Yarrowia lipolytica: one gene and its partners. The protein of the gene in region 1 binds, or shares a complex with, the protein of each later gene. Links are inferred from orthologs where the notes say so. Each region holds a gene or a part of one and is shown on either strand. Other genes may lie near its edges.

Region 1 (5,485 bases):
CATGACGTATTCCAGCCATTTCCAGGCCATATCGGCCGAGTTGGAAACTTTTCGTCAAACAAACCCAAACATCGTAGGTTAGGCCGGTTGCATGCTCCTTTTCTAGGACCACCCCGGTGATCAACAAGTTCACGGGTGGCCTGGTGTCAGTGAGAGTATTCAGATAGTTGTCCAAATATCCAAACTGGTCTGCGAAACTGTCCAAACTGCTCGAAACTTCTCTCCAACTCCCCAAAACTGTCTCCAACTCATGTAAAAACTCCCCCAAAAGACATCGCAAATCTGAAACAACCATCGTGTTCAGCAAGAGCACAATATTGCTCATGTGTCATATTATCTACACTTTATCCAAAGATGACGTAGCTGGTTAAATCGTGATACAAGTCTCGGCACCAGTATCTCCTTCAGACAACTCCTAAATCCATCTCTATCAACTCCCTACTCCAACATCACCAAGTAGATATCCTTAACACCCATTCATTATTTAAAAATACATACATTATCATCTCTTCACATGTCCATCTCAACATCACTCTCATCTTCGTCACTCTCATCTTCGTCACTCTCATCTTCGTCACTCTCCTCACTCTCTTCTCTCTCATCTTCGTCACTCTCCTCAGCCTCGTCATCGATGCCCGAAACTGTCGACAGCCGACTCTGGCGTCGTCCTATGGGACTTCCAACCGCATGACTTCCAATAGAAGCCCGTCCAATTGGACTTCCTCCAACAGAAGCTCGGCCAGCCGAACCTCGGCCAAGAGGACTGCTGCTCATAGAGCCCCGGCCGAGAGGACTGAGTCCAAGAGAAACCCGGCCCCCAATAGACACCCGACCTCCAACAGAACCCCTCAAGCTAGTGTCTCCACTAGTCTCATCTTCAGGGTACTCGGGGGCCTCAAGTGCATCCTCATCCTCGGGAACAGTATGTCTTAGAACAGTGGTATCAGCCTCCGCGTTCTCCCCTTCTTCAGCTACCTTCTCATCATCCTCCTCTGCCTCCTTCTCTGCAACGCCATCCACAACTCCCACAGGCTCCATGTTCTCCACTGACGCCACAAACCGATTAAATGCGTTCAAGGACACATTGTCAATACCCTCGATGGCCTCGTGACACCGAACAACAGCCTCCTTCAGCTTGGTCAGCTCCTCAGCCGTCAAGCCGGGGAAATACAGCTTGGTCAACGCAGACGTGTACGCCCTGTGCTCGGCTCGCTCCCGGCACTCACTCAGATACGACAAGATATCGAACGCCAGATCGTAGTGGACACGTGACGTAGTTTCTGTGGACGACTGGTTAGTAATCGACACCACACGTCGCGGATCCGTCCAGTCCAAAACCTGCTGCATCATCTCTGTGGCACCGGTAAGAGGATCATCTTCAATATCCTCCAGGTGACGCAGAATTCTATCGATAGCAGGAATAGCCACCGATCCAAGCACCTGCTGATTCTCGTCACGTGAGTAGGCGTACACAGGAATGCAGAAAGACAAAACCTGCTTCAGAGCACCGTTGGAAGCACTCTGTGGGTCAAAGTAGTTGAGAAGGATACCCGCCAGAAGATCGGGGTTGGAAAAGACGCCACAGAGAAGCAGCTTGAACAGTCCTTCGGCGGCAACAGCCTGTAACTCGGGGATGTCGGCGTTCTTCAACGCCTGGTAGTACAGCTTGTGCACACTCTCAGAGTCCACTTTATCGGGAAGATCGAGAACTGAACGACCATGAAGAACCAAAATATCAGACATGATCTTAAGAGCTTCAACCTTGAACTCAGCCTCGCCCTTGTGAACACAGTGTCCGAAAACCATGAGATTGTCCGACGCTTGTTCACGAGATAACAGAGAAAGAAGACCCAGGCATCGTAGACCCCGTTCACGGATTGTAATCACATGAGAGCGAACTGAGGGAAGAACCAAAGAATCTAGTAGACCGCTCAGCTCGACATTCGACTCCAGAGACGTCTCCACCTGCTCAAGCACCGTCTGTGTGATAGCCAGACACCGCAAAGTGGTACAAAGCACTCTGTCTGGGTCTTCAGACTCACGTGCAATGTCTTCGATATCCACCACGATTTCAACCAGCACCTGGATGAAGTCTCGCTCTCGGGTGCACAGTTTGTGGAACACGTTGACAACCGCAGACACAAGAGTATCAGAGAGATCTTTATTAGTCAGCGCATTGGTGAGCACGTCCACAATCTTTCGTCGTCCGATTTCATCACCAAAATCCAGCTGCTGCGCCAGAAGCAAAAGCTGCTCAAGCACAAACTCCCGCTCGGAGTATCCCTCTTCGTCCACGGTCAGATTTTGGAGATCGCGCTCAATAAAGAAAGCAATCTTTGTAACTTCTGGCACCTGGGCGTCCACTAGATCGTCGTAGCCCTTCTTGAGACAGTATTGGGCGTATACACGCGCCAGGAAGGCCGTTTCTGGTGTCAAGGTGTCCCACGAATCTTTGAACGAGAGGTTGGAAACCATTTGGGGCTTCTGGTCAAATATAATCTCGACGGCAGTCTCAGCTACAGTCGAATTGAGCACATCGAGACGCTGCAGAAGCTCCAGGACGCTACCGTCACAGGTTTCGAGCCATTGGGTGACAAGCATCTTTGTGGCTGCCTGTTCCACACTCGTGTCTCGGTCCTTGAGACCCCATTGGAGCAACTTCTCTCGCATGCCGATCCGCAGCATTCGGAAATCACCAATGCTCTTCATGGTCCGTCCATACACCGACCGTCGCGTGATGGAATTGGTATCACGTGCACGTTCAAGAAGATAGGGAAGGGTCTTCTTGGTCACCTTGAGGTTGAACAGGATAGCCCGGCGCACGTCGGCCGAGGGATCGTTCTGGATCAAGCTCAGTAGCAGCTCCTGTAGCTGTTTCTCCTCCGCGGACTCCTCCTCTCCTTCCTCAGCAGAAGATTGGATTCGGCACAGAGCCAACACGGCCTTTAGCCGTGTGCTGGCGTCCTTGTCGTACGACCGCGCAAACATGGAGTCTCGCAGGTCTTCAAAAAGGTCGTCGTCAATGTCACTAAGAGAGTTGATGACGGTAGACAGAATGTGGCAGCATCGGAACCGCACATGTCTATCTTTGGCCTGGGTTCCTCGGAGCACGTGACGAATGAGTGCCTCGCAGAAACGAGACGCCACTGTGCTCTCTTCCTCCTCATCATCTTCATCTTCATCCCGGTCTTCCTCTTCCTCCTGAAGACGTCCCACATACGAGCCGATGAACTCGACCACCTTGTCGGCCGACTTGTCGCCCTTCTTGCACGTGAGCATGCGGTTCACCAGCAGCAGAAACTTGCGCGTGAACTGCTCTTCCATGTTCCACTGAACTGCTCCCTCGTGTAGTTGTTGCATGGACACAATGATCTTTCTCTGCGCCACTAGCGACCGCTGCGCCTCCTGGAAATACTGCCCCAGTAGCGAGTACAGCTTGGCCTCGTTGCGGTTGTTGGCTTTGACCCCGACATGTGTTTTTTTGGCCGTCGTCATGCTGAGTGGTGGTTTGATGTAACTGGCAGGTGTATAGTGATGCGACAAAGGGATGTTTGAACGCGTCAACAAAGGCCGTTGCCACGGTAACCACCCGGGGGAAAACTTTGTATATTGTGCGGGGTTCGATTCCAGCTTGGGACATGTGATTCAGAGAGTGGAAAAGTGGAGGAAAAGAGGACATTTGGGGTTATCAAAGTGGTATAGATGTATTTGACGATTGGTTTTTTTTGGTTTTTTTTTTTTTTCACGTGATATTCGTCCGTTTGGGGGCATGGAACCCCCGTTTTCTTTTACTTGACTTGGTGTAATAGTTTGTTACATATTACTTGACTTGGTATAATAGTTTGTTACGTGTTACTTGGCTTAGTATAAATGTTTGTTGAGAATTACTTTAAGCAGAACAGAACACATCTACAAGACAGACTAGAGAATATATATAGACAAATCCAAGAGTGCAAGTTGTTGCAACGGTCAATTTACGATATTATTATAAAATCAAACTTATTACGCCCAGTATCAATCTCCATTCAAGTCATCTTCTGAACACCATTGACTCTACACTTAACATCGCCAGACCACACTTTGCTATACAAAATATGGTGTTGCTGGTTAGATAAAACAACTCTGAAAAATGCATCTTGTTGGTCTTTTTCCGCTCCATATCATGGTTCTTTCAGATTTCTATTACGTCCACTATTCGTCGAGATAATTCCAAAACACGTAAAACGTGGCCAAAACCAAAAATGAAACCACTGTCATAGCATTTCAGTCTTTAGCAATCTCTTCAAGCCCTCTTTCTTGTTATACAGGCTCTACATAGTCCGCTACTTGTAGGTGCTTCTATCACCCATTAGTCACATGACAAAGCCTAAATAAAAAAAAATCTGCATATGCATATAGGTAAGCCAAAAAATTGTGAGAGTGCAACATATCACAAAAACAGCACACAACACAATGGACGTTCATAGATGCCGTTTTGTGGACTACAATCCGGCCGGAATCACGGCGCTGGCGTTCAGCCGACGCTCCGAGCTGGACCAGAACGCCTCGCCGGACCTGAGACTGGCTGTGGGACGAGATAATGGAGATATCGAAATTTGGAACCCCCGATGGAACTGGCTCCATGAGACGACTTTGCGGGGAGGAAAGGGCCGGTCTGTCGAGGGGCTGGCGTGGTCTGACTCGGGCGACTCTTCTGGCAAGCCGCGGCTGTTTTCCATCGGAGGATCGACCGCTATCACCGAGTGGAACGTGTCCACGGGCCAGCCCAGAGTCAACTACGACTGCCACAGCGGTGTGATCTGGTGCATTGCCGTGAGCGACGACGGAACCAAGCTGGCTGCAGGCTGCGAAAACGGCTCCGTGGTGGTGGTGGATCTGTCTGGAGGCCCTGGTGTGATGGAGCATTCGCGAGTCCTTCAGAGACACACCTGTCGAGTGCTCAGTTTGGCATGGAGAGGCTCGCAGGTGGTGGGCGGCTGTTCGGACGCGCGGATCCGGGTCTGGGACGAAGACGGATCCACCATTGCCACCATGAAGGTCGACACTGCCAAGGGACCTGTGGCACAGGACGACGCTACTCTGGTGTGGACCGTGGCGGTTGTGAAGCGAGCCAAGGGCGATCTGATCGTTTCCGGCGACTCCACGGGCTCGGTCAAGTTCTGGGACTGCACGCACTTTGCTCTGAACCAGTCGTTCAAGACCCACGAAGCCGACATTCTCTGTCTGGCAGTCGATGCAGCCGGAGACGCTGTCTTTTCGGCGGGTGTCGACAAGACCATCGCCTGCTACGAGTCTGTGGGCAAGCGATGGAACCAGACCAACGTGCGGGGCTACAATGCCCACGACGTGCGAGCTCTGGCTACTTACGAGGCCAAAAACCTGTCTCTTCTTGCATCTGGAGGCGTGGAAAAGGTGCTTGTGGTTGCTTCCGTTAACGAGTTTGCTCAGGGCCCCTACCGAAAGTTCTCGGTGGCTCCCCCGCGAA
Region 2 (4,741 bases), on another chromosome or scaffold:
GAGCTCAATGTGGGTCTTCATGGGCGAGAGCTGAGCCTTGGCTAGAGACAGGAGGAATACGGCTGAGGGCTCGTTGACGAGCTGCTTGATTTCGTTCTCAAACGTGAACATGGTGCTGGAGGCCAAAGGTTCGTCCAGCAGCTCGGCAAGGTGGGATCTGGAGACCTTGGCGTTCCAGGTGGGCGAGCTTACCATGGTAGTACAGCTAGAGGCCGAGCCGGTGAGAGAAGAAGACCCAACGCTGGAGAAGCTGGTGTGGGTCTTGAGAGTGAAAATAGGTGAATGATCAAAAACGTCTGGGCTCAGAGCAATCTTCTCGAGGTCGAGAGGAGCAGTAGGGGTCCGGGTAGGGGCCAGGCCGGCAGGAGCAGCGTCCACGGGGGTCACTGGCTTGACAGCAGGCATAGTGAGCCGCTGGAGAAAGCCGGAGAGAACCGGAACAGAAAGATGGTCAATGATAGTCTGGTTCTCCTGGGTGGAGCGAGCCAGGTGGAGGCCAATGGGGATGAGGGAGGCGAGATGACGGAGACTGTCGACGAACTCGGCCAGGGTGGGAAGGTCGTCGTGAATGTCCTGGAGCGCGACCGGATCCACTGCGGAGGCAAGAAGAAGGCGGAGCTTGAAGGATCTCAGCGGAAGCATACACACCACATTGTCTGGGCACTGGGCCAGCAGCACAAGCGTGGGTAGGAACTGCATCTGGAGTCGTGGGATGAGGTGGGTGTGGGATTATGTGTCTGTGTCTGTGGCAGAGATGTGACTGACCAAGACTGAGTCACAATGTGTGATAGAAGCACCGTAACGCTGTTTCTGTGGGCCACTAGGTCGATGTAGTGGGCGTGAGAAGAAAGGATGTGTGTCTGTGCTAGTCTGAGTAAGAATGCTGAGAAACAAGTCTGTGTGTGTTTGTGTCTGTATCTGAGTCTGTGTCTGCAATATCGGCTATACAGACAGGTCAAGAAGAGGCCAAGTGTGCGTGTGTGCGTGTGTGTGTGAATCCAGAGCTGACTAGATAAAGGAGAAGGAACCGGAAGAAGGGGGTTTATATGTGAAGACACACAGTCATTCCCTCTATTATACGCGGCGAGTGGGTGGAGAGGTCAACTCTATCTTGTCACTCTGTTTGAGTGGTGGAGTGCACTTTCAGGGCTCTTGATCTAGAGGGCGCTCGCGTAGAATCATAACATGATGGGTATCATTGGAAAGCCATTCTCGACAGGTCGTCACACATGGTAGGAATGACCGCATCGACAGCCATAAAACGTCGCATTTTGGAGATATCCAGTTCGCCGACCATCTCTTTTCACCTTGCCTTTGCATATCCCGATTCAGTCTCCCCAGTTCCAATATCTCAAGGCTGTGCGTTTTTCCTCTTTATTGAACGTTTTTCCTCTTTGCTGAATGCCCAATGTGGCACAACTGGACTAGCCCTAGTCACATTGTCAATTGGGGAACAAGCCGAAATTCTCATTGCCCCACCTTTCTCTCAACCGCTTTTGGTATCACGAAATTTCATAGTCCTTGGGCTACGCGGTTCCTTCTATCCATCACCACTGATGAACTGTGAAGCGAGTCCCGACGACCCAGACCACTCCCATATTGACCTCCAAACTCAATCTCCAGAACCGCGTGCGTACATCCAACTGGGGTAACAGGCGGCGCTATTGATGGGTCAGCCACTGAACGATGGGTTAAATGTACCGGTACAGGTTAGGGCATTGGAATGTATGCGGTGGTTCAAGGCGATTCGAACTGTCTAGAATATGGCCTTCGAACAGCTGGTAATACACTTGTAGTCGTGCTTGTATTACTACCTACGCCATCAGATTTCGCACCGCCCCCAAATACGGAAGCTTCGGGTTAGGGTTATTTTACGCGGTTGCCAGGACAACGGCACACAACAACGCGTGAAGGCTATTTTGTAAATATACAGAATATACAGAAACCTCTTTACACTTTTCGATCCGTCAACACGACTAACTAAACATTCAGATAAACGAAAATGGCAAGACCAGCTCGACGACGGTCTTCCGGACGGTTTCTCCAACAGGGCGAATCCGAGCCTTCTCTGCAAAAACTGGTCCATATGAACGACGACGCTGCCGAGAAGCAGAAGCGACGACAGTCCAAGCGTCTCAGTATTCTTCCTGGAGCTGTTTCGCTCGGTTCTCCTGGCGCCAATGCTGGTGAGGACGTTGACGAGGGCCTTAGAGATCATCTGAACAATGCTGCTCCCCAAGTTCCCATCATGGCCAACTTTGAGGAGTGGATGAAGATGGTGAACGACAACAAGATCAATGCGCAGAATTCGTGGAATTTCGCGCTCATTGACTACTTTCATGACATGTCGCTGCTTAAGGAGGGCGACGGAATCAACTTCCAACGTGCTTCCGTCACTCTGGACGGTTGTATGAAGATTTACTCGTCTCGTATTGACTCCGCAGCCACCGAGACTGGTCGATTGTTGACTGGACTGGCTACTAAGCAAGGACGAGAGGATATCGGTAATGAAGACGACGAGGAGGAAGGGCAGGAGGGTGAGGAAGGGGAGGGAGGAGAGAAGAAGAAAAAAACCGTTCGTCCTCGAGGAGTTACTCTGGCTAAGAGCTTTGAGGAGAATGCTGCTAAGAAGCTTGAGCTCGAACTCTCTATCGATCCTCTTTTCAAGAAGATGTGTGCCGATTTCGATGAGGGAGGCGCCAAGGGCATGCTGATGAACTCTCTGGGCATCGACAAGAATGGTCGCGTGGTTTTCGATGGAGATTTCGACCAGGAGATTAGTAAGGGAGATTTTGCCGACCTTAGCGAAGACGAAGACATGGAGGATGATAGTGCCGACAGCTTTTCTCTGCAGCAGCTGGGGGCGAAGTTTTTCCCCGACCTGTCTATTCTGGCAACAAAGTCCGTCTGTCCTTCTGCAGCTATGATCGAGGCTGCTCTCAAGGACCCTAGTAATCTTCCCGAGGGTCTGCAAGTCGACAATCTCGATGACCGACCTTCCATGCCAGAGCTCGACTACGGAGGAGACGAAGACATTCTGGACGATGCCGCTCTTGGAGATATTGGTTTTGACGACCTTGGAGCAGGAGGCGATGACGATGGACCTGGAGGTCCCGTGGAGGATTTCGAGTTTGGATACAACCCCATGAACGAGCAGTATGCCGAGATTGCTCAGGATGTGGCTATTCCAGGCGGGGTGGGTCCCTCTGACCCTCGATACAAGCCCACCATTAACGAGGCTGATCTTCTGGCGTACTTTGATCACACCTTGAAGAAGAACTGGGCCGGCCCTGAGCACTGGAAGGTCCAAAAGCTGCGGGGAGATATTCAGAAGAAGGCCATTGAAAGCAGAGATAATGTTGGAGAAGATGGAGAGGAAGGAGAAGAAGGCGAGAAGGCTGACAAGACAAAGAAGAAGGCCGCTCCTGTCGAAGTTGACTTCATTTCCGAAGATAACGATATTGACGAGGCTGTGCTGTTTGGTCGACCAGCACACATGTCTACTCTGTCGCTCACCAAGGCCCAGCAGCGATCTGATACCAACAACCTGCTCCCTAACGACGAGCACTTCTCCACCGACAATCTTGTCAAGCTGTTCATCAAGCCCGGCAAGCGAATCACCGGTCTACTGTTCAAGCATCGAGTCACTCTCCAGAGCGAAAAGGACGCCGACCAACATTTCTGGGCTCAGCATTTCAACGAGGAGCTGGCAGAATACGGTGTTCAGGGCCCTGAACCTGAACCTGTTGATATACCTGGCCAGAACGACGATGGAGATGATTTCGGCGGCTATGACGACTTTGACGACTATGGAGGAGCTACAGATATGGGTGGGCCTCACAATGCGTCGTTCCTGGGCCTGCCCAAGGCTCATCCAGAGTACGTTTCGTACGCCAAGGTGGCCAAGCGAGTGGATGTTCGTAAATTGAAGGACAACCTTTGGAGAGTCATGGATTATGAAAAGGTGGACGAGTTGGTGGACAATGGCGACATGGTTGAGGATGCAGCAAAGGTGGAGGAGAAGAGATTCACCCAGCTCGTGGAGCAGGTGGGAGCCGAGTACCCCCGACAACAGAAGCAGGAGATCTCCACCTCGTTTGTGTTCATCTGTCTGTTGCATCTGGCTAACGAGAAGGGTCTCAGTATCGACCAGCAGGATGATTTGGCCGACTTGGCCATCAGCAAGGATATGAATGTTCGCCTGGATCAGCTGGGAGCATAATGGGACTGAGACAGCAGTTGTGTAATTTATTGATCGTATATAATAATGAGTGTACAATATGATGAGTGATGAGAGCGTTTGTAGAGTGAAGGGCGGTAAACCGTTTTGGCAAGGGGTTGGGTGATCTTGGAGTTTTGTCTGTAAGTTCCATATGATGCCATGAAAAGCAAAAACACATCTATATAATATCCTCGAGTGACCTATTTCATCGTGTAAACCACATCTTCTACCTAATTATCAATAATATACATTTTCCCCGATTTTATTTGATTTTTTTTGTGAGCGTATCCAAATGTCGGGATGTTTTATTCTATTTAATATTCTATTTTAGATTCTATTTTTAGTTCTGGTCACGTGATCAAAATTTTCGAGTGTGATGGGAACGATTTCTAAAATTTCAACAAAATGCCTGGCTAGCTCAATCGGTAGAGCGTGAGACTCTTATTCCAAGGTCATCTCAAGGCTGTGGGTTCAAGCCCCACGTCGGGCTCTCTTTTTTGGGTGGTATTTGCGTGTACA
Region 3 (5,625 bases), about 2.0 Mb from region 1:
TGAGCCTGTTGCCACACATAGCAGTGATGTGCCTCTAACTACCAGGACCATGTCTCAAGGCTATTTACTAATTACACGTGTCCCAGTACACGTTTCTTATACACGTTTCAAACAACAATATGTACAGTATATACTGTACACTTCTTCCTGTCTCACTCTTGTCTGGCTTCTCTTTCCTCACCGCCGTTAAACCTAAGAGACACACACCAGCCAGTAGGAAACCAAGTAGACTGTGAGACACTAAGACCTGACTAATTCCAATTGCATTGAGTCTAGAGCTTTGGGTGTGTTGCGAGATAACATCTTCGTACATAAGTGTTCGCTACTCCGTTGTAGGTCTCATGTATCAAAATGAAATTAATGGTACAGCCTCTCTGTAGGTACTGGGTCCTGTATCATTTTTCATTCGTGATGCTCAGCATTAGCACTTATATGAGTGTATGTACTGTACAGCATGGTAGACACTCGAATACATATAAATACATTAAAATACAACCCACATAAATCCTACATGGCAATGACGGACGACGAGCCCTCCTGGAATCGAGCCTTGAAGACTCGGTTGGCGTTGCTGAAGAATCCCTCTTTAAGCGACACAACAATGAACTGCGAGCCCTTGAATCGCGTCTTGATCAGATGACCAATGTTCTGAGTGTGGTTCAAATCCAAAGCAGCATCAACCTCATCAAGAATGTACATAGGAGCAGGCTTGAACTGGAGCAGAGCCAGAATCAACGACAGAGCAACTAGAGATCGCTGACCTCCAGAAAGCTCCGCCAGAGACTCCTTCCAAATCTTACCCAGCATGACCTTGATTTCCAGACCCTCGGTAATCTCCTTGCCCTCCAGAAGTACCAGCTTGGCGAAGGAGCCAGGCAACAGAGTCGCGAAGATCTGACCAAAGTCCTCGCTCACCTTCTTCCACGTCTTGGTCAGAGCCTTGCATTTGTACTCGTTCAAAGACACAATGGTCTGCTCAATCTTGACCTTGTCCTTCTCGATGGTCTTGATCATACCTCGTAGAGTCGCTTCCTTCTTCTCAACGTTGTCAATCATGTTCATGACCTTGTCGTTGACCTTGTGTCCGAGACCCTTGATTCGCTCCTCCAACTGGCCAGCGGCCCGTCGCACCTGCTTGATGTCCACACTCTCGTAGTCATAATGAGATCCGGGCTTGCCAAACAGGTGAGCGTCAGCAGCGACCCAGTTGTACTTGGCCTCCATGGCAGTGGCGCCCTTAGAAGCATCTTCCAGCTCCTTCATCTTACGGGTATGAAGATGCTCAGCCTCCTTTGCAGCGACAAGAGCATCGGCATGGAAGTCTCGTTTCTGTTGAAGAGTAGCCTCCAAAGATCGTCGCTCCTCGTCCATGCCATGCAGAGCAGCCATCATCTCCTCAACCTGCTGGGTCAGAGAAGCCTCCAGAGCACGGGCCTCGTCCTGCTGAGTCTCCAGTTGAGCAAGGCCGCCTCGGGTAGCCTGAATTGCCTCTTTTAAAGCCTCGGCCTCGTCTTTCATACCAGTAATGTCGGACATAAACTGCTCGAGAGAAACCTGGATGTCCTCATGGGCAGCTGAGGCCTCGTCAACAACAGACCGGTGCTGAGCTACTTCAGCAGCCATTTCTTCGACAGAAGCAGCCAGCTCCTCAAGCTTACTGCCCTTGTTCTTTCCAAAGTCAGCCATGTCTCTCTCGATAGTTCCAATCAGAGCAATGGCGTCTTCAAGCTTCTGGTTGAGCGTGGGAAGGGACTCCTGGAGCTCATGAAGCTCGGCCTCCTGTTCCTGCTTCTTTCGCAGAACAGAAGCACTGGAAGAAGACTCCAGTTGCTTCTCGCCGGTCTTGATCTCGTGCTCCCGAATTGAAAGCTGGTTTTCAAGCTGTCGTCGCTCAGAGATAACTTTGGAAAACTGAGCCATGGACTTCTGGATGTTGCTGAGATCGTATCGAGCCTCCTCCAGCTCCTGTGTAAGGTTGTTGATGCTCGTCAACTTCTTGAGAAGATCTCCACTTCGCTGCTGAGAGCCTCCAGAAAGGGTACCCTCAGGCGAGTAGTGATCTCCCTCCAGAGTCACACAATGAGCACGAATCTGGGGATGGTAAGCACACTTCTTTGCGGTCTCGGTATCTACACACACAAGAGTGCCGCCAAAAACATAAGCCATGGCCTTAGCAACCTCATCGGAGTATCCAACTAGCTCTAGGGCACGTCCAACCCGGCCGGGGGCCACCTGCTGGGCCACGGCGAGTCGCTCCGCAGAAATTAGACCTTCGGCAGCAATTTTATTCAGAGGAATCATGGTGACTCGTCGCTTGAGTCGGCCCCGCTGTAGCAGCTCCTTACCGGTGATCTCATTGTCAACAACAACGTTGAACAGCTTGCCTCCAGCAGCAACCTGCAGAGCAATGCACTTGTCCATGTTCTCATCTCCAATGGTCAGCAGTTCGGCCACGAAACCCTTGACGGATGAAGCAGAGAAGTTGGCATGAGGACGAGCGTAGGTGAACTCGGAGAACGACGCTTGACGCTTCTCGGAGTCAATTCGAGCAGAAAGAGCATCGATTCGCGACATGCACTCGCGCTCCTTTCCGGTCCAGTCCTCGTCGGCTCCGGGAACAGCCATAAGACGCTCCACTTCAGCTTCCAGAGCTCCTTTGGCTTCTCGCAGACCAGCCAGCTTGTCGAGCACGCTCTGGTTCTGGCTCTCAGCCTTGGCGACCTTGGGAGCGTCTCTTTTGAGAGCCTCTGTCAGATGTGAGATTCGCATCTGAGCACGATCAATTGCCACACGAGAATCATTGGCCTGTTCACGTGCCTCAGCAAGTTGGCGCTGGTAGCCAGACTCCTTACCGGCCGAAGATGCGATACCGGTCTGAAGCGACTGTAGCAGTTCACGCTTGGACTCGAGAGCCTTGGTCATGGAGTCAAGACGCTGTGTTTGAGCGTCCAGTTCTCTCTGGCTAGCGTCAACTTCGGCCTGGCGCTTCTGGAGCTCCTCGGTTCGATCAGTAGCCTCAAGACTGGCTAGTGAATCTTCTTCCTCGGTAAGCTGGGACCGTTTCAGGTCGATTGTAGTGTTGAGACGCACCACTTCATGGGAGGCAGCCTTGGCCTGCTTTTGAAGAACAGAAACATTCGTATCTTTAGACGCCTCGGCTGCCTGACGAGCCTTGACCTCGGCAATGTCCTGCTCGAGCACGCCCATCTCGTGTGTGTTCTGCTCCACTGCTAGGGCCTTTGCTTCCTTCTCGGCAACAATCGCTTCAATAGCGGCGGTCATCTCCTGAGCACCCTGGGTCAACATGATGTAGTCATGTGCCACAATGAGCTTGATAGCCCGCTCGAGGTCGGACTGGGTGTGTTGGTACTCGAGGAACGACTTCTTTTCCTGTCGCAGCTTATCCAACTTGGGCTTAATTTCCTCCTCCAAAAGCAATGCACTTTCCTGGCGCCGGGCATCCTTCTTCGCCATAGTCTTGAGAGCCTTCTCCTTTCGATCCTCGTACATTCGAGTTCCAGCGGCCTCCTCGATGAGAGCCAGCACCTCGGCAGGCTTCATGTTCAGTACTTTGGTGATTCGACCCTGCATGATCAGAAAGTTGGGATTGTTGATATTGAGCTGGACCGATTGGAACAAATGCTGTACCGTCTGCTGCTGCGCTCGGTGACCGTTGATCAGGTACTTGCTCGTGCCTCCAAGCACAATCTGACGGGTCACCGAGATCTGGGCGTACTTCTCGAACCCGATAGGACTAGTGGCGGTATCTGAGTTGTCGAAAACAATGGTGACACTTGCCTTGGTCACACCGGCCTGTCCTCGCTTGTAGATGAGATCCTGGAGGTTCTGAGCTCGAACAGTAGCCATGGTCGTGATACCTAGCACGAAACAAATGGCGTCCAGAATGTTGGACTTGCCACTACCGTTGAGACCGGTGATACAGTTGAACTGCGGGTCCCATCCGGAGATGACTGTACGCGTGGCGTACGACTTGAAGCCGTCGATTACGAGCTCTTCGACTTTCATTTAGGTGTTGAGAGGTGTGGTTTAGAAAAAGAACGTTAAGCGTGTTTCGTGTTTGGGACCTGTTGTCCCAGCAACGGTTAGAGTTTTGAGTGTTACACTTTAATTCGCCGCGAAAGCTACTCGTAAGTAGTTGAAGTACTGATTATAGGTGCGTTCTGTTACCAAAAACAATGGCTACACATTACAAGTAGTCGGTTCCATTGCAGCAAAAAATGACAACCGAGAGATTCGAACTCTCGCCTCCGAAGAGACCAGGATATTCGTTAAGGTGTTAGCCTTAACCTGGCGCCTTAGACCGCTCGGCCAGGTTGCCCGAAATGTGCCAGATTCGGGTCCGTTTCTTATTCCAAAAGTGGTTCGGGTCACGTGATTACTGTACTGTAATGAATCTGTAATGAATCATTAGAATAAAAATAAAAAACCGTGTTTCACTAGAATAAACAAAATTCCTAGTTGATTTTCAGAACGTCTTACCAAGTGGCAAGTGTGTGTTCTATTGTTCTTTACTAAATGGCATGGAAAGTATCGCATCACTGCTGTATGATGGGCTCAGAGCTGTTCTCCTGAAGCTTGAGGAAAAAAAACAGAAAAGGAGAAGAAGAAAAAAATCATTTGACGATGAAGATCGATGGGGCGTTGTTTTTGGAGCCCCTGTGGAGCTTCTTCTTTACTTTTTATTTTTATTTAACCAGGGGCCTGTGGGCAGGTGTTGGATGTTGTGCTTGTTTACCACATCTTGATTTGGAGTTGTATAGGATGTCTAACTCACGCGACAAGTACTTACACAATTGTGTGTGACAAGAAATATACAGTACATTTTACACGTGTAAGTGCCCGATATTCATTCCTAACTACAGCAAGGGCGTAGAAACTCCTTAACACCAAAATCGAACGCCATTTTTTTTTATTCTAATTACAAAAATCAAACGTTTTTTTTCTTTTCTAATGATTCGTGACTAAGCAGAAAGCACAATGTTTGCCTAACGTTTTCAAAAATCGGAAGATTTTTCAGGCATCCTGGCCGAGCGGTTAAGGCGAGAGATTAGAAATCTCTTGGGGTTTCCCCGCGTAGGTTCGAATCCTGCGGACGTCGCCATTTTTTGTTGATCCTGAACAGATACGAACCGACACTTACTGTAACTCGTACCCTTAGAATATGCGTACTGTACTTGGATTCGTGTCCTCGAGTCATGTCTCAATCTCATTTTAAGTAGCTACGATTACTTATCTCGTCGCTCCATTTTTGAAATGCAATAATTATACAAGTAAACAGGAACAGTAAACAGATACTAGCGGAAACCTCCAAGAGTCTTTCTTCGCTTGGAACGCTTCTGAGACCCGCCCTGTGAACCGGAGGGGCCAGCAGATTGTCTTCTCGTGTCCTGAGAGGCAACACGAGCTAGCGACGAGCGATGGGAGCTGGACGGAGCCAAAGATGCTCGCTGCGAAGGAGCCTGGCTCGATAGAGACAGTGTGGGAATCGTGTTTCTGCTGGCAACAATCTGGGAAAGCAGCTCCTGCTGAGTAGGGGCCTTACGCTTATTCTTGCGCGTTCCAAATTCGACCCAATCATCGTAGTTGGTTTTGGGAGGCGCACCT
Region 4 (7,576 bases), on another chromosome or scaffold:
TCTGTCTCACAAAGAAAGAAACAGGTCCAGCAAGACTGTTTCACATACTCGGTTATATGGAACTTTCCCGTGCGAGTATGTACTTGGCACTTGGAGCAAGATCGTCATATACGTGATTTACAACCAGTGTCATACACGCTACAAATAGTAACCCGTGGTATACAGAATGGCTCAACATTGTGACCATCAACATACATACGATGCTTTTCGGTAGCTATAGTAGAATATGTGCTGTACTTATAGACACATGGTATAGAGTGAGTACTTGGAATTGTGAGTCTGTAATATCACAATCACCAGTTGTACCAACAGTGGTTGTTAATGACGTCGTGTAAGAGCACATCGTATCGTACCGTACCGTAGTAACATCGTGTTACCGTTCTAATACCCTAACTTGTTCAAGCAATTCGCCTTCATATAGACCTACACCATCATATACATCACTAACTCCCCCACCGTTCTCTCCACTGTTCACTAATATACATCCATTAATTATCATAAATATTCATACACTATCCCTCAACGAATCCCGCCTGAGTAGCCTTGTGAGGCACTCGGGGAGTCTGGGGAACTCGAGGCGTCGAAGAAACACCCATTCCAGCTCCAAACTTCGGGGGTGGAGCTCTCAGGTGCCCGGGAGTTCTGTGTAGAGTTCCTGGCGTCCTGTGCAGCCCCGGAGTCATTGGAACTCCACGTCCTCCGGGACCTGGTGTCATGGGAGGGATCTTCGCTGCTGCTGCCGCTGCGGCAGCAGCCTCCACGGCCTCCACGTTCTTGATGGTGACACTCTTGGTCATGTTGTTGACCTTGAAGATACCAACCAACCGCTGAGCTAGCTCGAACATGTTGTTTCGCAGCGAAATGACAATGAACTGGGCGTTCTTGGTACGCTCCTTGATGTAGTTGGCCACGATGGACACGTTTCGGAAGTCCAGAGCAGCATCAATCTCGTCCATCACGTACAGAGGCGTAGGCTTGTAATGATGGAGTGCAAAGACGAGAGCCAGAGAAGACAGCGTCTTTTCTCCGCCGGAAAGGTTAGAGATGTTACGCCACGACTTCTTGGGAGGCATGACCGAGAAGAGAATACCCTCGGAGAAAGGATCCAGAGAGTCCACAAGCTCCAGCTCGGCATTGCCGCCCATGGTGATCATCTGGTACATCTCCTTCAGCTTCATGGAGATGGTGTTGAAACCAGACATGAACTCAGACAGTCGTTTGGACTTGAGATCCTCCAGTCGCTTGGACGACTGCTCTCGCTCCTCCACAGCCTCATTGAGCGCAGAACGACGAGTCTCGTAGTCGCGTGCCCGTCGAGCATATTCCTCAAGAATGGCAAAGTCGATGTCGATGCCCTCGACCGAGTTTTCCAAACCGACAATCTCTTCCTTGAGCTCGGAGACACTGTAACCCTGGAGCTCGTCCTCAGAGTACTCCACGAGAGGCGTGGACGTCTCTTCTGGCTCATCTGGCTGGCCACACATTTCGCCAATGTTGTGAATAGCCAAGCCTTGCAGTCGCTTGACCCACTGTGCCTTCTTGGCTCCCTCCTCCTCAACCTTGGTCTTGTGTTGCAGCAGCGAGTTTTTTAGCTCGACTTCTGCCTTTCGCAGCTCCGAAATCTCTGCCTGTTTTTCCTGGAGCTCATTTCGTAGCGCAGATACCCGCTCCTCCTGCTCGTACATGGCCTTGGTGGCCTCCTCGGACTCGGTCTCACACTCAGCCACCTTTTGCTCCAGAGCATCAAATTTGGACTGGAAAGGAGCGCACTCCTCCTGGAATGACTGCAGCTCCTTCTGCGACTCGGAAATGACCCGCTGTTGCTTAGTAACATTGTGCTGGGCCTTGGACCGGTCCTTGTTACCGGTCTTCATCTTGCCCTGCACAATCTCAATCTTCTGAACCAGTCCGTCGACCTTGGACTTTTGCATTCGCAGCTTGAGACCACCAGTCTCCATAATCTTCTCCTCGAGAGATGCAATTTCCTCGTCAATTGAAGAACACTGTGACTTAAGTTCCTCAACCTCTGCCTCAAGAGTGGCAACATGATCACGTGCCTCTGCAAGTACAGAACTCTTCTGCACACCCTCCAACTCCACAAGCAGCTCCTTATGTTGTCGGTCGGAAGACTTGTAGTTTTGAGCGAGTGCTTCAATCTCAAGACCCACCTTGGAAATCTCGACCTCGACCTGAGGAAGCCGCTCCTTCAAGTCCCGCAAAGAAGCTACCATCTGGTGATAGGTGGTATTGGCCACGCCATACCGCTTCTCCTCGTTCTCCATCTCGTTCTCCAGAGCTCGCATTTCATCTGCCGAAAGAGCCTTGGCGGTAGATCGCTCTGAACCGGTGATTGCCATCAGACCAACCCGCTTGACATGTCCTCCGCCAGCCATGGTTCCACTTCGCGCGATAAGCTGGCCCTGCAGAGTCACGACTCGGTACCGGCCACCCGAATAGGCAATTCTGTTTGCCTGGTCCAGATCTTTCGCAACCAGAGTCTCACCCATGGCTGCATAAAAGACTGGAATGAACTGGGGGTCGCATTTCACTAGATCGATTAGCCGAGGAACACCTTCTGGAGTGTTAAAGTTCTTGGGACGTCGATTGCCAATTTTGTCCATTAGCTGAAACACACCTGTACCTAGATTGTTCTTTCGCAGATACTCCACGCAGGCTTGACCTGTCTGAATCGTGTCAACCACAATGTTGTCGAGCTTGGGACACGCCACAGATACGGCAGTATCATACTCTGCATCAATCGTACCGAGATCTCCAAGCCGGCCATGAATGCCAGGGAGTCGTCCAGAGTCCTTGAGCTTCATCAGAGCACCTACAACCCGTCCACGAGACTGCAAAGATGATTGCGACTCCTTGGCGTCGTTGTACTGAGCACGCATGTCGTCCAGGCGCTGCTTCATGTCTGCTAGCTTTCCCTTGGCGTGCTCGCATTCCTGCTCTCCTAGCTCAATCTGGTTCTGAACGTGCTCCTTCTCCTTCTCCGAGTGAGCCACCTTCTTCTCCAGACTCCTTCCCTCCAGCTTGATGCCCTGAATAGACGCCTCGGAGTCCTTGACAGCTTTCTCAGCCCGGGAAAGTCGCTCCTCCTCGAGCTCGACCTTGTTGAGCGCAGACTTGACCTCTCCCTCTTTGGCAACAATCTTCTGCTTCCAGGGATCGAGTTTTTGCTTGAGCAGGTCAATCTTCTCGGAGAAAGGGCGTGTTTTGTCTCCCAGATCCCGTTGAATCTCAACCATGAGAGCCTCGGCCTCGGCAAGTTCTTCGCCGTATACCTTGAGCTGCTCAATGTTGCCGGAGTTCTCGTTGTCGTACTCCTCGATCCAGGACTCAGAAGAGGATAGCGACAACTCAGCTGAAGCAATTGTCTTCTCTAACTTCTTCGCCTTAGCCTCCATGTGCTTCTTGCGCTCCTCCAGTTGCACTTTTTCTTTCTCGTGAGAGGCCAGAATAGAGGCCAGCTTGGACTGGGCCTTCTTCAGACCCTTAAGCACAGATTCCTCGGACTTGACGCCGTCCTCTAGAGTCTTGATTTCGACTCTGTTAGCGGCATTTCTCTCCTCCTCTGCCGCCAACTGCGTCTCAATCTCAGCCATAACCTGCTCGCTCATAGTGATCACCTTCTGGCACTTTTGAGCATGAATCTGGAAGTACAGAGACTGCTTGTGAGTCAGCTCGTTCTGGAGACGCAAGTAGCCGACAATCTCGTCACGTTCGGATGACAGACCGTTCAGTTCCTTCTCCACAATTTCCATACGACCCTTCTTTTCCAAACACACCTCATTGAGCGAGTCGATCTGAACTTGTGCCTCGTCGATTGGCGTCTTGTATTGCGACGTACCAATAATGTCCTCCAGGTACTCCAGTAAGCCGTCGTCGTGGTCGCCCTCAGCCTTCGCCTTCATCTGGGCAATACTTTCGACTTCTCCCTGCAGAATGAGGAACCGTTTGTGGTCCAGATCGATTCCTCGGCCCTTTAATAGTGTGGTCACCTCAGTGAAGGATGACGTTCGACCATTGATTGTGTACACAGACGTGTTGTTGCTGTAGGCCTTTCGCGCCACAACCAACGTCGAGTCTGGTACCACAGAGGTGGTACCGTCCAGCTCGTCGATCACGTCCTGAAAGTGGACTTCGACGGAACAAAACGTGAGATTGGGGTGGTTGGAAGAGTTGTGAATGAGAGCGGACAATTTGCCTTGTCGCATTTTGGAAGCTCGGAAACCGAACACGAAGAGAAGCGAGTCGATCACGTTGGACTTGCCGGAACCGTTGGGGCCAACTACGGCGGAGAATGACTGGGTTAGTATGGCTTTCAGGACGGACCACATTGTGGTTCAGCATGGCGGTTCGGGACAAGCATGCGAAGCCATGTTAATAAAAGGCTTTTGAGATCGAAATAGCACTTGAAATCATGAAACGCAAGTTGCTATTGAATAAAGTAGACACTTGAAACCAATAAGCACCCGAGTCCAGTCATTTAAACCAAGTGACCACAAAAAAAGCCAGGCAATCCTTCGGATCGCTCAGCTTGCTCCACTATACTCACACTGTGGAAAGGACCAACTTCCTGTCGTCCGGCATAGGATTTGAAGTTTGTAAGGACCAAGTTGCTAATGGTCAGCCGCTGAGTGGGCTCGTCGGGTGTCTTGATCACATGCTGCTGCATGGACGTGGCGCGCTGCTGCATGAGCGACCGCGCATGGATGCCGTGGCTCAGCTGCTCCTCCTGTTTGACCTCGTCGGGCTCTTCGGATGCCCTGGGGAGAGGCAGGCCATCGGGGGCTCCATCATCAATAGTCAGATTGGCCTGCATGGGGGAAGGAACAGGCATGGACGAGGGAGGAGCTCTGGAGGGCGTGTTTGGCGTGGTGGCATCTTCTGTAGCGGCGTTGGTGTCCATATCAGGTGTCATGTCACGTTTCTTTACAATGACGTTTTCCTTTTGACTGGGGCTGGGATTGGACACAATGTTGGAGGTGTTAGGAGAGGCATTGTTGGCCGAGATGGATGTACGGGTTGCAAGAGGGCTTCTCTTCACGGGTGACGACTCCATGGCTGCCACTTCACCTTCAATATCACCCCCACCCACATTCTCATCACCCATAGCAATGTTAATGTCACCCTCATGATCCACGCTCATATCGCCCTCCATGTCAATGTCCTCCTGCTCTTCCTCCTCGTCTTCAATAACTCGCTTGGCGGTTTTGGAAGCCACCAATTCGTCTTCTGACTCTTCCTCCTCATCCTCATCCTCATCCTCATCCTCATCCTCATCATGATCAATAGATACATCTGCAGAATCATGGGTAATGTTTGTGTTGTTGGCGTTTGCGGTATCACTTCCTTCCTCTTCCTCTCCCTCCTCCTCCTCCCCTTCACTCTCGTCTTCACTCTCAACCACCTTGTGTGCTCTGGGTCGAGAAGACCGTTTCAAGTTCTTCTTGGTGGCCACCGCCAAATCATCCGAATCCTCCTCTGAAAACTGCTGCTCAATCTCCACGCGCGAGATCGAGCTGCGGTGCGAGGCCGAGTACCGCTTGGAAGGCGCACTGCTGAGTCGGGCCATTTGAATGTGGAAATGTGTGTCGATGTGGTGGAAAGATTGTAGATGTACTTTTCTGACAGACGCGTCAACCTCTGTTTACCCAATATACAATACGCGTCCGAGACAGGAAGTGAAACCCTAACCCTGGTTGTCCTGGCAACACGAGCTGGTGGAGGGGGAAGCATGCTTGGTGTCGGTGGATGGGTGTACGAAGTGAATGTTTTGGTCACGTGGTTTGCAGAAGTATTACTACAAGTATTACTACAAGTGTGATATACCTCTGGTTTACTACAGTTTCAGGGTCGTCCCACAAGGGTCAATACTGTACTTTTTTTGCTGTATATTTTTTTCGACTGGAAGAGTGGGGTCTTCACAGTGTGTCAAATGTGGGAGAGTAGGAATGGGTGCGATTACGTACGACTACGAGTTCAAGTATGGGAAAAATGGAGCAAGAACGGTGAATGGATGAAGAGTTGCTTTTGGTGGTATTTATAGGTTTTTTTCGTGTTTCAGCGGCTTGTACTTGTACAAACAGTTCACGAGGTACCGTATGTACAAGCAGTGCGGCTGGATCTGATAGTGACAGTTATGGGGTCGACTGTGGAGGAGATTGGGGGGTTTGGAAAACGTTTCCAGATGTGTTCATTAGTACGAGTATGGGAATTGGATCGGAATTTGATAGTGGTATGGTCGCAAGTCTGACATCAAGAAATCCTGTGGCTGGAAACTGTCTATTGAGTCCTACTTTGAAAATGTATGGTTGATTACTGTAGGAAGCACAAGATGAGAGTTGGCTTGTCGAACATTCACAGTAAAAGTGGATGTGTTGGTTAGTACAATTGTAACTGACATATTATCTCGAGTATTACTCTTACATCTGCTCGGAAGCTCGCTAATGCACGAGAAGTTGTAGCGTACGCTGCGGGATTGGCAAACTGAGGTGTTCTGGTGCTCTTGTCGCGAGATGTATGGATGTTCTGTTTGTGCGTGCGCATCCATCGATATGGGTCGTTGATATGGATCGTTGTCAAACCAGCTCCGGTTATATTCAGATGAATCGCGTCCACTGTCTACAGTACCATCATTAAGTAGTGTGCTCCTGTTGATTATGTAATCGTACTAGGGATCTTTGCTAAGATGACGAAATCCACAAAACACCGAGTCATAAAAACAGTCGGAGCCGCCGCATTGAGCCTTCTACCGTTACATCCCCTCGTTTATCTGCTTATTAAGCCACTGGCACGCCCACGATGCTCCAAACTCAGCGTTAAGCGTGGGATTAGCGTGAACGGCTGAGGTCGTTGGAAAAGAAAAGTGAGTCCGGAACGCAGCCGTTAACCATTGGCATGTTGTTGTGCTCGTACCTGTACTTGTACTTGTACTGTACTCGGTCTCCTGAATTCGACTCTCCGATACACTCTCAGCACTTGATATGCACCATACATCTAGCAAGCACAACAATAACAACTCTTGGACAAGGAAATAATACCACGCAAAGAACCCACCTGGCAGACCGCTTGGCACAGCAATTCTGCACCCGAGATGAATCCAGGCTGTTATCTCTACAGCACGTACATCCGACGTCCTTGTCATCCATCCACCGTCATGTGACTTTGTACAGTGAGAATAATAGGAATCCAGTTTGGTTTAGCGTGGAATGTGGACCGTCAGGGTATATTGGGATCGCCAGTCTCCATGGTAACGGTTCGGGGTAGCTATGTAGGTATGAGTGATGGAGCAGTTGGCGGTGCGAGTGGAGCAGAGGCAGGGTATGAGTACGGTACGAGCTCGACTACGTGTACGAGTACTGTACGCTACAAGCTCGACTACGTGTACGAGTACTGTACGCTACAAGCTCGACTACGTGTACAAGTACAAGTACCATGTTGCAACAAGCAGTTCTAAGGCAAGTCGTGCAAGTACTGGTCTCAGCACTCCAAGCTGAAGAACCATTGGCTGAGTGTGTCCTGATACGTCTTGGTGTCTCAGTACTCCCTTTCAGCTCCCTTTCAC

What was found.
Region 2: the proteins of YALI1_F12089g (region 1) and YALI1_B04937g are in contact, whole or in part, in a cryo-EM structure (PDB 6YVD), measured with the Saccharomyces cerevisiae proteins. The link is inferred for Yarrowia lipolytica from reciprocal best matches to the Saccharomyces cerevisiae genes YCG1 and BRN1. Residues at the interface, in NP_010612.2 of Saccharomyces cerevisiae: Gln215, Arg245, Asp246, Val247, Gln661, Glu741, Gln745, Phe749; in NP_009455.3 of Saccharomyces cerevisiae: His495, Tyr496, Leu497, Leu498, Asp500, Phe504, Phe513.
Region 3: YALI1_F12089g (region 1) and YALI1_F32167g share a complex: the UniProt entries of both Saccharomyces cerevisiae proteins name them as parts of the condensin complex. The link is inferred for Yarrowia lipolytica from reciprocal best matches to the Saccharomyces cerevisiae genes YCG1 and SMC2.
Region 4: YALI1_F12089g (region 1) and YALI1_C26408g share a complex: the UniProt entries of both Saccharomyces cerevisiae proteins name them as parts of the condensin complex. The link is inferred for Yarrowia lipolytica from reciprocal best matches to the Saccharomyces cerevisiae genes YCG1 and SMC4.

What each region holds. Positions count from the first base shown.
Region 1 is NC_090775.1:1,206,976-1,212,460, reverse strand, and holds YALI1_F12089g (uncharacterized protein), read right to left. Parts: upstream 3,496-5,485; coding exon 511-3,495; downstream 1-510. Other genes in the region: YALI1_F12080g (uncharacterized protein), read left to right, coding at 4,453-5,485. UniProt on the Saccharomyces cerevisiae protein: Regulatory subunit of the condensin complex, a complex required for conversion of interphase chromatin into mitotic-like condense chromosomes.
Region 2 is NC_090771.1:490,984-495,724, reverse strand, and holds YALI1_B04937g (uncharacterized protein), read left to right. Parts: upstream 1-2,002; coding exon 2,003-4,222; downstream 4,223-4,741. Other genes in the region: YALI1_B04950g (uncharacterized protein), read right to left, coding at 1-699; YALI1_B04947g (uncharacterized protein), read left to right, coding at 853-970, 1,013-1,161. UniProt on the Saccharomyces cerevisiae protein: Regulatory subunit of the condensin complex, a complex required for conversion of interphase chromatin into mitotic-like condense chromosomes.
Region 3 is NC_090775.1:3,212,759-3,218,383, forward strand, and holds YALI1_F32167g (uncharacterized protein), read right to left. Parts: upstream 4,027-5,625; coding exon 508-4,026; downstream 1-507. Other genes in the region: YALI1_F32204g (uncharacterized protein), read right to left, coding at 5,316-5,625. UniProt on the Saccharomyces cerevisiae protein: Central component of the condensin complex, a complex required for conversion of interphase chromatin into mitotic-like condense chromosomes.
Region 4 is NC_090772.1:2,638,858-2,646,433, reverse strand, and holds YALI1_C26408g (uncharacterized protein), read right to left. Parts: upstream 5,585-7,576; coding exon 4,565-5,584; intron 4,314-4,564; coding exon 513-4,313; downstream 1-512. UniProt on the Saccharomyces cerevisiae protein: Central component of the condensin complex, a complex required for conversion of interphase chromatin into mitotic-like condense chromosomes.